Sus scrofa: one gene and its partners. The protein of the gene in region 4 purifies or fractionates together with the protein of the main gene of each other region. This does not show direct contact. Links are inferred from orthologs where the notes say so. Each region holds a gene or a part of one and is shown on either strand. Other genes may lie near its edges.

Region 1 (3,845 bases), about 230 Mb from region 4:
GATTTCAGAGGTAGTTTTTTTTCTAATTATATCTTGCCAAGTGATTCTCAACTTAGCTATGTCCAAGGCTAGGTCTGCTACCTTTTAAGATTTGGGTATCTGGGGTAGATATCACCCATTTCCTTGCCCTCATTAAAAACAATACACCCTTGGAGTTCCCATTGTGGTACAGTGTATTAGTGATATGGCTTGCCTCTGTGGTGTCGCCAGTTCAATCCCCACCTGGCACAGTGGGTTAAAGATCCTGTGTTGCTGCAGCTGTGGCATGTAGGTCGCGATGTGGTTGGGGTCCAATCCCTGGCCTAGGAACTTCCATATGCTGCAGGTATGGCCAAAAAATGGGAGGAACCCCCCCCCAAAAAAAAAACCCAAATGCTGTTCTGTAAGAAAAGTAATTTCTTTTCTATCCTCTAGACACATGTAAACAATATCCAGTCTGTGACCTGACTGTGTTCTAAAGCTGTCAGTTCCCAAGACCAGTGGTGTGAGATTGGTTGAGGTGAGAGATGGGAGCTCCAAGTGAGGCTTGAGGCAAAGCTGACAGGTTTTCCCCTCCCGTTTCCATAGCCGGGTGACTCACTGTAATATACTGCCCACTAGCTATGTCTGAATTACTTATCTTAAAACATTATCTGTATCAGTACTTGTACCTTCATTAGTGTTCCTTCATTGTAAGCTGACTGCATACAAATAGAAACCTAGATAAAATATGAATAGAATAGACATTTATACAATATAAAATCTGGACTATTTTCTCTAACGTTTTCTTTCTTCACTAAGAATAGTTTTCTTTAACTCATAGATTTTCAAAAGAATTTCCAGTTTTTTTATAATAATACAGGAACATAAAAATGGGCACAAAGTTCCTAATCTCAGATTTGGAAAGCACTCCAAAGAGGCTTCTGGCTCCCAAGCATGTGAAACTATTAGAGATGATCACCATTATTTTCTTTCTGACTTGGTAATACCCTTTTTGCTAATCGCTTTGAGAATCATTAAGTTCTATTCTGTCCACTTACTTGGATATTTTGCATTTGTCCAAGGGCACTCTGTTTTGATTCTGATTTTTCTTCTTCAAGTGCCTTCTTTTCTTCTTTAGGTGGACTACTAACAGTAGAATTCATCTGGGGATGACCTAGTAAATGAAAATCTGACTGATCTATACCAGCCATTGCGGCCAGCTGCCCAAGCCTGGACAAGAGGAAGAAAGGAGGAAAAGACAAAGGTTATTATAATCATACAAGAGCAGCTTAGACTCCCCCAGACTTGTAATTATGAAATACTTCTAAAATCTTAAAAGCCAACATCCTACTCCAGTCTATAAACCACTCTCTCTCCCCAATTCTCAGCCTCTTCTAGACTCATGGCCCAGGACACATCCCATCTCCTTACCTGCTACTGCTCATTTTTAACTCACGAGCGGTTCCAACATCTACCATGCATCTCATTCACTGCCTCTCACCTGCATTCATACACTTCTTTTTTTTTTTTTTTTTTTGGTCTTTTGTCTTTTTTTTTTTTTTTTTTTTTTTTTTTTTGTTGTTGTTGCTATTTCTTGGGCCGCTCCCGCGGCATATGGAGGTTCCCAGGCTAGGGGTTGAATCGGAGCTGTAGCCACCGGCCTACGCCAGAGCCACAGGCACGCGGGATCCGAGCCGCGTCTGCAACCTACACCACAGCTCACGGCAACGCCGGATCGTTAACCCACTGAGCAAGGGCAGGGACCGAACCCGCAACCTCATGGTTCCTAGTCGGATTCGTTAACCACTGCACCACGACGGGAACTCCCATACACTTCTTTACCACATTCCCTATAGTTTCTGACAGTGTGTTCCTTCCTCCCCACATCAACTCATTCACTGACAAAATACCACTCCATCAACTATCAATCTCCATTTCTCTCTTTCAACAAAACTGCTCCCAGTTGAGAACAACTAATCTTCCCTGAAGATTAATAATACATTTTTACGTCTAGGACAAAAATAACTTTAAACTTATCAAACAAGCAAAATAAATAAAAGGTAGGAAAATTCCTACACATTCTGAAATATTTTCAATTAAAATTACATCCAATTTAGTCTTTACGAAAAACTATACCTACTAATTACTCATCTACAGGTTAATTTTTTTTTGTCTTTTTGCCATTTCTTGGGCCACTCTTGTGGCATATGGAGTTTCCCAGGCTAGGGGTCTAATTGGAGCCATAGCCGCTGGCCTACACCAGAGCCACAGCAACGCAGGATCCAAGCCACACCTGCAACCTACACCACAGCTCACGGCCACGCCAGATCCTTAACCCACTGAGCAAGGCCAGGGATCGAACCCGCAACTTCATGGTTCCTAGTTGGATTCATTAACCACTGAGCCACAATGGGAACTCCTACAGGTTACTCTTTTAAAATGGGCTCTCCACTCTACCAAAGCAGGCTACCCCATTTGCATTTCTTGAAAATTTTAATTCTTTATTTAAAAAAATCGATTGTATTACCTATAGTTACACTAAATTTGACTAGATATGGCAATGGAAGCAATAAAAATTGCTCAAGTTCCTCACAAACTACCATTATAGTCATGAAGAGAAGACTGCCATCAAGAGAAATGAACTAACCCAGCATCTTTAAGGAGATCCAAGAAAGCATGGAACTTCTGAAAAGAATTCTCAATGCTGCCCAAAACACCTTCATCATCCAAGATCATGCTTGTCAATGACTGCGCATGAAGGGCTTCAGACAAAGAGAAGTTTATATTTCTTAACTGGGCATTTTCATGTTCCAGCTATAAAATAAGATTGAAAATGTTTGATACGTTTTTTTTCTCATTATTATCAAAAGAAAACCAAAGTAGTCTTGTCTAGTTTTAAGGAAAAAAAGCTAAAATAAAACACTCGAAATGTAATTAACTTGTAGTTAATGTAACTCTTACCAGTAAAGACAGAGCCCCTATCATATGATCACCAAAACCCAACGGTACCCAAACAAAGCTTCCGACATAACACTTAGATGGCATATAAAAACCAAAGCTATTGTTTTATTAACAAACTTTTAAAAGATCACCTTTCTAACTGGTTAAATTAATAATGGATCCTCATTTCACATTAGAAAATTACCTGCTATAAGTTTCCCTTAAGTTAGAAAATGAAATATATAAAGTATGATTTGAACAATGCATGTTATAATTCTGCTGAATGTTAAAACCGGATTAACTTTAGTGAGCAAAACATTTAATGTGTTAGTTTAAAAGTCCTAAATCATACCCAATTCAATTTATTAGCTACACAATCACCAATATTCTCCTTGGATTCCTGAAAACAATCACACCCTTGTACTCCTTCTCTCCCCTCATCATCTACACATTTAAAACCCCATATAAGCCCAACTCCAGTACTGCTCAGAAAGGCCATCATGTCCTTGATGCCACTTTTGGGCTTATATAAGCAGGTGCTCGATATTTACTGAATGACTAAGCATCCTCCAATCTAAAGCATGCACTTTCAAAAATTCCTCCCTAAACTCACCCTGTAATAATTTATATTTATATAGCACTTTCTAGATTATACCCTCCTTTCATGCATATTACCAAATGTAACTCTCACAATATACATTTTTATCTTTCATTACATTTTTTGCAGTTTTCCAATTCTTATACTTATTTAAATGATTCATTTTCCTATTTCACTGCTAGCAGAGTGTCTCATCATGTCTTTTATACCACTGTATATACAGTATAAACACAGTAAGTGCTTTCTTGAATTGAAACATCATGAACATAAAATAAGCCAATGTTATATAAAAGCACATATACACATACACAAAACCTAAGATTTTTACACTTTTAAAAACATGCTT
Region 2 (3,845 bases), on a different chromosome or scaffold from region 4:
TTGTGTTAATTTTTTTGTGATTATGGATATGATATTGTTACTCAAAAAAAGGAAACTATCGACAGTTTTCCTTGGAAATTCTGGAATAGATGGCAATATAGAGGCATGGTTAAAAGCAGACAGATGGGGATTTAAATGCTACTTCTAGATACGCAAGCCATCTCTCAGTTGTTTCACACATAAAATGTGGATAATACCTTCCCTATGGAGTTAACTAGAAGCAAATGAAAGAATCTACATAAAATGCTTAGCACAGAACTTGGCACAAAATAAACAGTCAAAACCATTAGCTATGTGCTTATAATGGAGGCATTTAAAAAAGATTGACAGAGGCATTCCCGTTGGGTGTGGGTGGTTAAGGATCCAGCATTATCACTGCAGTGGCCCAGATTGCTGCTGTGGCATGGGTTCCATCCCTGGCCTGGGAACTTCCACATGCCCTGGGTGGGGGGAAGATTGACAGCAACCCCATACTGTGATGGATTTATAGCTTCAAGGAAAGAAAGAGAATCAAGGACTTTGACTTGGGCCTTCTGTCCCTTCCTCTGTCCCAATTACATGTTCTGTTTTTTTGTTTTTTGTTTTTTTTTGTCTTTTTAGGGCTGCACCTGTGGCATATGGAAGTTCCCAGGCCAGGGGTCCAACTGGAGCTGCAGTCGCCAGTCTACGTTACAACCACAGCAACGCAAGCCTCATCTGTGACCTACACCACAGCTCATGGCAGTGCCAGATCCTTAACCCACTGAGTGAGGCCAGGGATTGAACCCGCATCCTCATGGATTCTGGTCAGGTTCATTAACCACTGAGCCATGACAGGAACTCCCCAGTTACATGTTTTTAAGTCAAGTAGGTTAAAATAACAGATAAAGCATCCTACTAATGAAGCCAAATTTACAAATCTGATCCTCATATAGGATAGTTAACTTGTGAAAGAGAAAACTACACCATGGCTAAATGGTTCTCCTGTCTCCCAATTCCTATTTTTCATCAAAAAGAATAATTCTCCAATATATTACCTGTAAGGGACAGCAAATTATAGCAGAATATCTGGTTTATTAGAACTGGAAAGAACCACAGATCATCCAGTTCATACTTCATTTTAGAGATGAAAAATTGTAAAAGGTTAAGTGACACACCCACTATCACATGACTAGTTATGGCTGGTGAAAGTAAATCAAAAGATCTATACAGAAGTTCCCGTTGTGGTGCAGTGGTTAATGAATCCAACTAGGAACCATGAGGTTGCGGGTTCGGTCCCTGCCCTTGCTCAGTGGGTTAACGATCCAGCGTTGCCGTGAGCTGTGGTGTAGGTTGCAGACGCGGCTTGGATCCCGCATTGCTGTGGCTCTGGTGTAGGCCGGTGGCTACAGCTCTGATTAGATCCCTAGCCTGGGAACCTCCATATGCCACGGGAGCGGCCCAAGAAATGGCAAAAAGACAAAAAAAAAAAAAAAAAAAAGATCTGTACATCAAAAGATTATATACTAATGGCAATGACATGTTAGGAAAATAAATGAAATTTTAAGACTTTAGTTACTGAGATTTAGAAGTAATGATATCCTCATAATATTTAAATTAGATAAGATTTTCTGTTACCTGTTCGTAGAGGGTCTAAAAAGAAGAAGAACTTCCTAACTGCCGTACAAACATAAAAGGAGTAAAAAGATTTTTCCAGCCCATCTAACTGTGGTAAAGTAGGGATAAGTTCCAATATGTAGTTTTCTAAATCCTGAAAGAACAAAACAAAATAAAACTTTAAAGTGTTAAATGTCTGACCTTGTTTCTTCCTTAGATACTAGACTATGATTTCAGTCCTAATAATAATTGAAGATTAATACTATATTGATGAAATAAATTCCTATCTTACTAGTGGTGAAACTATATTTATTTTTATTTACTTGACATATTTTTGAATAGGTAACACATTCTATGTAGTTCCAAATTCAAAAGGAAAAAGCATTCATTAAAGTTTCCCTCTCACCTGTTTCCTCTCCTCAGAGGGAACTTATCAGCTTCTGATGTATCTTTCCAGAAATAACTGATGCACATAGAAGCCAATACATATATATTTCTCTTCCTTTTTTTTTTTTAACAAAGGCTGTAGCAGCATACCATGCAGATTCTTTTGTATCTTGCATTTATCACCTAACAATACACTATGCAGTCATTCCATTTAGACTCTCAAAGAGTTTCTACTTCTTTATTTCATTGTACTGTAATCTATTTAAACAGTCTTCTACTGATGGACATTTAGACTTTTCAATATTTTGCAACACTAAAAAAAACCTATAGGGGCAAAGCTAAATTTTCATTCATAGATATTAAGAGAGAATACAGGATATAATTTCTGTAAGTAGAATTGCTGGGTTAAAGCATACACAGGTTTATAATTTTGACAGACATCAGTAAACTTCCCACCTTCCCACAGAGGCCACATTCATTTTATACTCCCACCAGCAATGTGAAGGCTGTATCAGTAGTTCCCAAATTGTGCCCCAGGAGCATTTGTATTTTGCTTTTTGCAAAATAAACACTAAACTCACAGGGATGCAGCTGGATATTATGAACTTTTAAGGGAAACACAGCGACATCTGTTGGGTATTATACGACCTGTCACCATGTGCTGGAGCTATGAAACAAGGTCAACATCAGATCAAAATCTATTCCTTTTGACATCAATCTTTACAAAGCTACTGCTGCTGGCTGCTGTGATAAAGCAGGTACCACATGAAGATCAGTGTGGAAGAGGAACTGAGGATGACTTTGTCCAATCTAATACCCAGGGTTGAGCAGCTGGACAGTGCCCCATGGGCACACATACTCCATTAGTAATTGTTACTTAAGAAGAAAGTAAAAATATGATTTTCTTTTGATTTACATGCATCACTGTTTCAAATGGCTAACAGGCTAAGTTTAGCGAATATTTTCACTGAATTGTTTAGGACTAACTGGTTAAATAAATGCAATTGTTAGATATTTCTTTTGGCCATTTTCCTGTGGAAAAATTACTGACACAATAAGGGCACCTCAGTGAACTGAAAAAGTCTGGGAAACCATGGTCTATTTTATATTCCTTCATTAAAAGCATTATCAAACTTTTTGATCCTTGCTGATCTGATAAGTGAAAAATTATATTTTAATGTACATCTATTTGGCATTGCTCTTAAAGTGCCCTTAACATTTTTTCTGTGATTAAGAAGCATTTGTATTTTGCTTTTTGCAAAATGTATCCTTTTATTGGATTAAAAGCCATTTTCTTGATTTCTAGGAGCTTTTTATATATAAAGGGTAACCAGCCACTTGTCTGTGACAGAGTTTCAGATACTTTTCTCAGTTTGTTTTCTTTTAACTTGTTTATGATGGTCTTTGCTCTATAGTCTTTTTTTCTTTTTAGGGCTGCATCTGTGGAAGTTCCCAGGTTAGGGGTTGAACTGGAGCTGCAGCTGCAGGCCTATGCCACAGCTCATGGCAATGCCAGATCCCTGACCCACTGAGCGAGGCCAGGGATAAAACCACATCCTCATGGATAATAGTTGGGTTTGTTACCACTGAGCCACAATGGGAATGCCTAGATTTTTTTTTTTTTTGGTTGCACTTGCAAAATGTGGAAGTTCCCAGGCCAGGGATGGAACTGGTAGTAGTGACCTGAGTTGCTGAAGTGACAGTGCCAGACCCTTAACCTGCTGTGCCACAGGGTAACTCCCCATATTTTAAAAAATTCAGTTGAACTTATATTTTTCAGACTTCTGAGCTTTGTCATCCTTAGAAAGGCTTCTCCTATTCCAAGACTATATATTTAAGTCTCTCAAGCTTTCCTACATTTAACAATTTTGTTACTTTTGCTT
Region 3 (3,845 bases), on a different chromosome or scaffold from region 4:
ATAAACAGATGGAAAGGAGAAAAGTGAAAGGAAAATGGGAAGGTGGAGAAGGAGGAAAGGAAGAACTTGCTGGTCTCAATGTACATAAAACTAACCCAATTCCTTGTTCTGAAACTTTAAGGGAAAGAGAGAGAAAAGTCCAAGGAGATGCAGAAAGAATGCCATGTAAACCCAGACTACAAATTACTAATCAAAATCCTTTCCTACTTTTATCCACCCTCACATACACACCTGTCCATCTACTAAAGCTGTAAGTGGAAGATAATCAAATAGATCTGTAAAATATTTCCAAACATTGGCATTTCCATACTTCCGCAGACATTCGTCATAAAAGCCATATACTTGGGTAATTTGTCGGCTCTCGTGGTTTCCTCTCAATATTGTAATGCGTTCTGGATACCGCACCTTGAGGAAAAGCAAAAGAAACCCATGGTACATATTTTTATTAGTGTTATGTTTTGCCCATTATCTTCAGACCCATTTCTGTCTTTTCTTTTGTTTTTTTAGGGCCACCCCATAGCATATGGAGGTTCCCAGGCTAGTGGTCAAATTGGAGCTACAGCTGCCGGCCCACACCACAGCAACCAGGGGTCTAAGCTGCGTCTGCAACCTACACCACAGCTCATGGCAACACCAGATCCTTAACCCACTGAGCGAGGCCAGGGATCGAACTTGTGTCCTCATGGATGCTAGTCGGACTCGCTACCACTGAGCCACAATGGGAACTCCTAACCTCAGACCCCATTTCTTTAAATGGCTCTTTCTTCTTCTTCTTTTTTTTAAAATGGCTTTCTTTAAATGCTATTTCATTAAATGTTAATTCTTTTTCAGAATAAAAAATTTTTTCATTCGCCACCAGGTCCTCTTTAATCTTTAAAATAATTTTTAATAGTCATTCTTCATCATGTACTCACACTCCCCTCACTGAAATCCTTATTAACTGATACCTATATTACTATAATAAAATTGTATCTGATTGTCTCTAACATCTTTTTCATCCTCAGACTACCACTAGTCAGTCTTTCCAGAACACTGACGTTTTAATGTTGAAGGGACACAGATCACAAATCTGGACCCAAGACAAACTCTCTACAGACCAACTTCTCCCTTCCTCTTATTTCCACAGGAAGAGTGTATTTGCCAACAAAACACAAAAACAGGCCCTGACAAATCTGGGCAAGATTATAAATGTATTTAGTCTCTTTTTCATAACAAAACATACAGACATACTTTATGGTATACTATTTAGTTAGGAATGTGTCTGATAAGAAGTATGGAAATGCATCAGATTTTGTAAACCAAAAAGCTGCAAATGCATACTTCATAAATATTTTACTAAGCATCCATCATGGGTCCAATACTAAACTCAGTGTTCAAAACTAGGTGCCAGGTCTGCACAAATACAATACATGAATTCTGCTGGTTAGAGACTAATTTCATTAGGAGGTACGAGAAGTAAATAATACGAGGCAATACACCACTATGTAACATAAATAAAGGATGGGAGAATGAGTTTCACAATCATTTAGAATAGAAGGAGTAAAACTAAAATGGCTTTATGGGAGAAGGAGGACTTGAGCTGAGTCCTGGCAGAAGTGGAAAGAAATCAGACAGAGTAATCTTTTGGAGAAGCCAGAGAAGGAAATATTTGGAGACAGGCAAGAGCACTGAAACTCTTTGATTTGAGGCAAGGGGTTTATGCTACCACCTATTAGCAGCAAATTCAGGCTAGATGGTAGAGGTCCAGCCAAAGAATGTGAGCTTGACTCTACAGGGAACATGGAATCATTGGGAACATTGAAATAACAAGATGCAAGTGTTTAATGAGAGAAATTTAATCCCGTAGTACATGCAAGGTAGATTTGGAGGGGTCAGATCTTGGAGACAGAAATATTAATTACCACACTATTGCACTAATTAAAGTATGAAGTGATAAAGATATGCATTGTATGACAGCAAAGAGAGACACAGGAATGACAAACTTTTCAAGGCAAGAATTAAAAAAAACCTTGTTAAATGACTCTATACAAGGGAATAAATGGCTAGATGTAAAATCAACTCTTAATTTAAAGGCTATAAAATAAGTGGATCATAAACTAGAACAGATAATACGCAATGCCACCACTCTTGCCTTTTGCCAGCTTAAAGATCAAATAAAGGAAAACTGAATTTCATTAATCATACCTTTAATGCCACAAGAAGAGTCACAGTCTCCACCGAATAATAACCTCTGTCTACATAGTCACCCATGAATAGATAGTTTGTGTCTGGTGATTTTCCACCGATTCTAAAGAGTTCCATAAGATCATGGAATTGACCATGCACATCTCCACAGACCGTAACTGGACAACGAACCTCTTGCACATTTGATTCTTTTGTTAGAATTTCCTTAGCCTGTTTAAAAAAAATGAACAATTAGAAAGTATCACAGATTTGAAGGCATCGTTTCTTGTCTATTAAAAGAAAATCTGGAGGGAAAAACCACCTGAAATGTACATTTTAAAATCATAAAACTAAAACCAAAAGAAGATATCACTTTATACCTACTAGGGTGGTTAAATAAAAAATTATAAGTTTCTTTTTTCTTTTTCTTTTTCGGGCTGCACCTGCAACATATGCAAGTTCCCTGGCTAGGGGTCAAATGAGAGCCACAGCTGCTGGCTTATGCCACAGCAATGTGGGATCCAAGCTCCATCTACAACCTACTGATCTACTAACCAGTGTCAGTACAGACTGATACAACGTGAATTTTAAGAGCTAACTTGTCAAATCCCTTGAAAATCTGCAGATTTTGACTTAAACTGCACTGAATTTACACACTTGGAGCAAAAAGCACTTTAATCAGCCTTTCCATTGATGTATATGATACTGATCACCATTTATGCAGGAGTTCCCTCTCTGGTGCATTGGATTAAAAATCAGACTGCAGCAGCTTGGGTCGCTGTAGAAGCTTGGGTTTGATCTCTGGCCTGGTGCAGTAGGTTAAAGGATCCAGCACTGCTGCACCTGTGGCTCAGATTCAGTCCCTGGCCCCCAGGGACTTCCATATGCCACAGATGCAGCTATTAAAAAAAAAAAAAAAACCCAAAAAACCCCACAAAGCTCTGTACCATTTATTCAGATTTCCTTTATTTGTTAATCAACTTGCATAACTAAGAATGTCTACTTGTTGTTGCTTATAGGGTGTAATTCAAGATAATTTATATCTGATATTATGCTGGGATTTTAAACAATTACTTGTTCACATAATACTCTTGCAACTTGAAAACTTTAATAATTCAGAATCTGAGTTCCCACTGTGGCTCAGTGGTAACGAACCTAACTAGTATCCATGAGGACTTGGGTTGGATCCCTAGTCCCATTCAGTAGGTTAAGGATCTGTCGTTGCCTCGAGCTGTGGTGTAGGCTGGCCAGCTGCAGCTCTGATTCAATCCCTAGCCTGGGAACTTCCACATGTTCATAGATTCTCCTGGATTTTCCATATATGAAAATATATTTTCCAAATATAAAATGACAATTTTTTTTCTTTTATGAATCTTATAGTCACTAGTATATTAAATCTATTCAGGCTGCTATAACAAAAATACCACAGCGGCCAAATTTCTAACAGTTCTTGAGGCCAGAAACCTAAGATCAAGATCTCCTAAAACCCAGTAAATTCTTCTGATCTATAAATGCCATAATTCCTTAAATTCTGGGGACTTCTGTCCAAAGATGGATTACTTTATTTGTTGAATTTCCTATTTCAGATACGATTACTTGTTTTTTAAAAATCGTGTTTGTCTGTTCTTTTTGGTTTCAATTGCATCCCTTCTGATTATAGTAAGTCCTTCCTTTCTAGAGAC
Region 4 (3,845 bases):
TGCCAAGCCCTGCAGGAAGACGGGCGCCCAGGGACGGCGAGGAGGAGGGACGGAGGCCACCGCGAGGCCCGCGCAGAGGGCGGGGGGCAGGGGAGGGCAGGGGTCCCACGGATCAGACAGACGGACAGGTGGACTCCGCAGGTGGGGAGGAGAGCAAATCAGAGTGAGGCCCGCTACCGCCGCAGCCCACCGCTGCTCGACTAGCCAGGAGCCCCCGACAAGGAGCAGGAGCGGCGCCAAGCTTCAGATCACCTTCCTCCGCTGCTCAACAGCGTGTCCGGCCTCAGAGCCGCAGGGCGGCCGGTGCAGGGGAGAACCCGAGCCTGCGACAGCAGCCCGGAGACGAGGAGGGGCAGCAACCTTCCGATCACACCCCAGAGGCGGCCGGGCTGCAAGCGTCACGAGAGAGCCCAGCAGGGGCGACTGGCAGCTCCCAAAGGGGACGCAGCCTCCGCAGCCAGGCCCGGCGGCCCTGACTCCAGGCTGGCTGAGCGCACATCGAGCTCGGAGGGACAGCCGGGCTGCGTCTGGATCAGGGACAAGTGACCGATCCCCCCACCCTCCCCAGCTTTCGGGCCAGTTCAAAGACAAAGATCCTCACTGAGCAACGAGCTGGAACATGGCATGAGATTCTGACTTCCTGGTAACACGTGTAAGCCTGGCCCACAGGCCAAATCTGGCCCCCAGCCCGCTTCTGTACAGCCTGGGAGCCGAGAATGGCTTCCACGTGTCTCAGCGACTGTAAAAACACTACGGTGACTCGGGGGAGACCACACGTGGCCCCCAAAGCCTAAAATACCTCCTTGGTCCCTTTTCAGACACAATTTGCGGACGCTTTAAACACGCCACACGTGCCCGTCTGTGAACATGCCAGCCTCTGGCTGGTATTTGTGTCTCCCCAACTGAACTGTGCTCTAAGGCTCTGAGAAACGTGTCTTTGGGACCTCCAGTTTCTGTTTCCACCGCAACTCTATTTACACGACACCCAAGTGACCGACAGTGAGGCAGGGCGCTGGGTTCTCCGCTGCCGGGTCAGGCTCCCGAGAGCCACGCGACCTGCACTCGGAGGCTCCTCCTCCCGCAGGCGGGAGGGCAGAGCTCACCCCACCCCCACAGGTCTTGCTAGGCGCCCCCCTCCCCCGTCAGACCCCACGCTGCTGGCACCCAGACAGGTGCCTCGGCCTCTGCCCGCGTTGCTCTGTCTCCACCACAGGCTCTCACATCCCGGCAGCGCCCTCGCCACCTCCTGGGAGAGGCATCCCGAGCCTGGATGCTGGGTTAAGTCAACCTACTACCAGTTTCCACAACAGTGCAGACTCCTCGAACCTGTAAGGCACCTGTTCAACACCCATCTTCCTACCAGGTTTAAAGCCGAGAGGACAGGATCCACAGTGGCCACTGCTGCCTCCACCCGTGTGCACAGCGACCCCAACCACAGACCCTCCATGGAGCTGTTCTCAAGTGCTCGCAGGGGGTGGCTGACACTTAAGTTTATATTCTGAAAAAGTGAATCACCTTAAAGCAATGAACACTTAAACGGGAAATTGAGTTACCTAATCCGAGCGATCCCATTTTATCACCGACCAATTTAAGATCTTTCAAAATTGTGTTTCCCCTTTTACCTGTGAACAGGAAAAAAATATTCACATTAAACCGACTTTTAGAACCTAACAGTCTTTAAACCATGCCAACTCTTTTTCAGCAGAGTTCCTCTGTGAGACACAGTAACTGAAAACCCAGAGGAAACGGCCAGCGGTGACGGTGACACGCTGCACACACTTACACCACGCAGCGCAAGGCCCTGCCTCCCCGCCACACTCATCCCTTTTTCAGCCCCATGTCTATACTGGCACCTGCCCACCAAAGTAATTTTTCACCCAACTATCAGATATCAGCCTTCAGTGAAAAGCGCCACTGGGTACAAACGCTTGGACCCCAGTTAGTTCTTCTCAGTGTCACTCCTCTTTTGAGCGGGTACACCAAGCTCAGCTCCTCACTGGTTTCCCTTCCTCGGCGCCCTCTCGCGATCATTATTCCCCAGTCAGTGTTGACAGGGACGTGGTCGTGACCCTCTGGACCCCTTCACTGATGGCGGCGACGCTGGCGTGGGCCGTGTGAGCAGACGCACGACCAGTGTACAGACCACCTGCTCCGCGGTGGCAGCAGGTCATGCCAGGTCGGGAAGTGGTACGAGATTCTGCAAAATCCCACTGCAGTTTCCCAGCGAAGATCCCCTCAGAGAGGCAGGCAGATGCTCTGGACGCTCTGCCAGATCAGCCCCAGGGTTACCAGGACTCGGGACACCGAGCCTGTCCGTGCGGTCACGTGCCCCTGGGCGTGTCGCCATCTGTGTGCGGCAGCAGGGCTACTCCGTGTCTAGCTACCCTGTCGCTGCTTCCTATAAAAAGACATCTGGTCCAGGCCCGAGGGCAGAACGGGTTCAACGCTCCTAGAATAACTACTGTGTCTCTACAGAATCTACGAACACAGCTTTAAAAATTAATTGAACTTATATCCTATAGAAGTCACTCTAAACGTCCAACAAAAGAAAAATGGTTTAAAAATTATAATTTATCTGTTATATAAAACAGCTAAAAAGTATTTTCATGACATAGGAAAAGCAGAGCACAAAACTACAAAGAGAATATGGCTATATTCAAAAGAAATGTTTTTTTCTTTTGTCTGTCTTTTTAGGGCCGCACCCGAGGCATGTGGAGGTTCCCAGGCTAGGGGTCTAATCGGAGCTGCGGCCACCGGCCTACACCAGAGCCACAGCAGCGCAGGATCCGAGCCACCTGTGTGACCTACACCACCGCCCATGGCAACGCCAGATCCTTAACCCACTGTGCGAGGCCAGGGATCAAACCTGCGACCTCACCGTTCCTAGTTAGATTCGTTTCTGCTGTGCCACGACAGGAACTCCCAAAAGAAATTTTTAAAATAAAATGTTAAGAGAAAAGATCACGGAGTAGTAAAATTACTGGCTATTTTTGTGATTTTACATGTATTTTTCCGAGAAAATAAACACGGATCACACCCTACTTAGCTGATGAAAGAAAAACACAGCCTCCTCGGCGTTCAAAGTCCCCGTCCTCGGTGGGCGAGGCCAGGGGCCCGGGGACACTCACCTTCGGAGCCCTTCAGCGAGGGCGCGCCAGCGAGGGGGCTGAGTCCGCTTTTTAGAGGGGGCGCGTCAGAGAGCGAGGCGAGGCTTCCTACCTGCTTCCCAGGCTCACTTCTCCTACCAAGAAACAAGCGCACAGTCAAACGCGATTCCGACATCTGCCTCTGAAACAGGAGCGGCCTGAACAGACCTCCCAGGTACCAAGAGGGTGGCTGGGAAACAGAATTCGCCTTTCACAGACTCCGCACCTGGCAGGAGCACACCTGCCAGGCCACGCAGGCTAAGCGTCCCTGCCAAGTCATGCTGCAGGGCACCCCCGCTCTCCAGCACGCTGGCTGCCCCTCTCGTCAGCTGCACTGTCCATGGTGCTGTCGGAAGCTCCTTCCACGGCCCAGAGACCCAGGCGAGCCGGCCTTCCTAGCGCGCCCTCAGCCCCGCCGGCGGGCCCGACGCCACCCGGCCCTCCAGGAATTCCTTCCCCTCTCCTACTTGCTTCACTCTCCCTCTGGAAAGCCGGGTTTGCGCAACACACACACACACACACATACACACACACACACACACACTTATCTTCCCCATGTGTAACGCTTCCCAGCCCCACAGCCGCCCTCCAGCCACCTCCCATCCGTCTGCACCCCACTCGACAACCTCACCAGAAGGTCTGGTCACTAGCACCCTCCTCTCATCCTCCGTGAACCCCGCATCCCTGCACCAGCGCCCC

Evidence for each region. The genes of interacting proteins can lie anywhere in the genome.
Region 1: the proteins of FGFR1OP (region 4) and CEP78 purify together in Homo sapiens (affinity purification with mass spectrometry; 3 studies listed by BioGRID and IntAct, with this or other methods). This does not show direct contact. The link is inferred for Sus scrofa from reciprocal best matches to the Homo sapiens genes CEP43 and CEP78.
Region 2: the proteins of FGFR1OP (region 4) and PPP2R3C purify together in Homo sapiens (affinity purification with mass spectrometry; 3 studies listed by BioGRID and IntAct, counting the BioPlex papers as one, with this or other methods). This does not show direct contact. The link is inferred for Sus scrofa from reciprocal best matches to the Homo sapiens genes CEP43 and PPP2R3C.
Region 3: the proteins of FGFR1OP (region 4) and PPP2CB purify together in Homo sapiens (affinity purification with mass spectrometry; 4 studies listed by BioGRID and IntAct, counting the BioPlex papers as one, with this or other methods). This does not show direct contact. The link is inferred for Sus scrofa from reciprocal best matches to the Homo sapiens genes CEP43 and PPP2CB.

What each region holds. Positions count from the first base shown.
Region 1 is NC_010443.5:231,108,469-231,112,313, reverse strand, and holds part of CEP78 (centrosomal protein of 78 kDa), read right to left. Parts: intron 2,776-3,845; coding exon 2,609-2,775; intron 1,192-2,608; coding exon 1,020-1,191; intron 699-1,019; coding exon 651-698; intron 1-650. UniProt on the Homo sapiens protein: Centriole wall protein that localizes to mature centrioles and regulates centriole and cilia biogenesis. Involved in centrosome duplication: required for efficient PLK4 centrosomal localization and PLK4-induced overduplication of centrioles.
Region 2 is NC_010449.5:64,776,216-64,780,060, reverse strand, and holds part of PPP2R3C (serine/threonine-protein phosphatase 2A regulatory subunit B'' subunit gamma), read right to left. Parts: intron 1,730-3,845; coding exon 1,597-1,729; intron 1-1,596. UniProt on the Homo sapiens protein: May regulate MCM3AP phosphorylation through phosphatase recruitment. May act as a negative regulator of ABCB1 expression and function through the dephosphorylation of ABCB1 by TFPI2/PPP2R3C complex.
Region 3 is NC_010457.5:54,309,090-54,312,934, reverse strand, and holds part of PPP2CB (serine/threonine-protein phosphatase 2A catalytic subunit beta isoform), read right to left. Parts: intron 2,395-3,845; coding exon 2,185-2,394; intron 406-2,184; coding exon 232-405; intron 1-231.
Region 4 is NC_010443.5:2,099,995-2,103,839, forward strand, and holds part of FGFR1OP (FGFR1 oncogene partner), read right to left. Parts: intron 3,242-3,845; coding exon 3,129-3,241; intron 1,623-3,128; coding exon 1,554-1,622; intron 1-1,553. UniProt on the Homo sapiens protein: Required for anchoring microtubules to the centrosomes. Required for ciliation.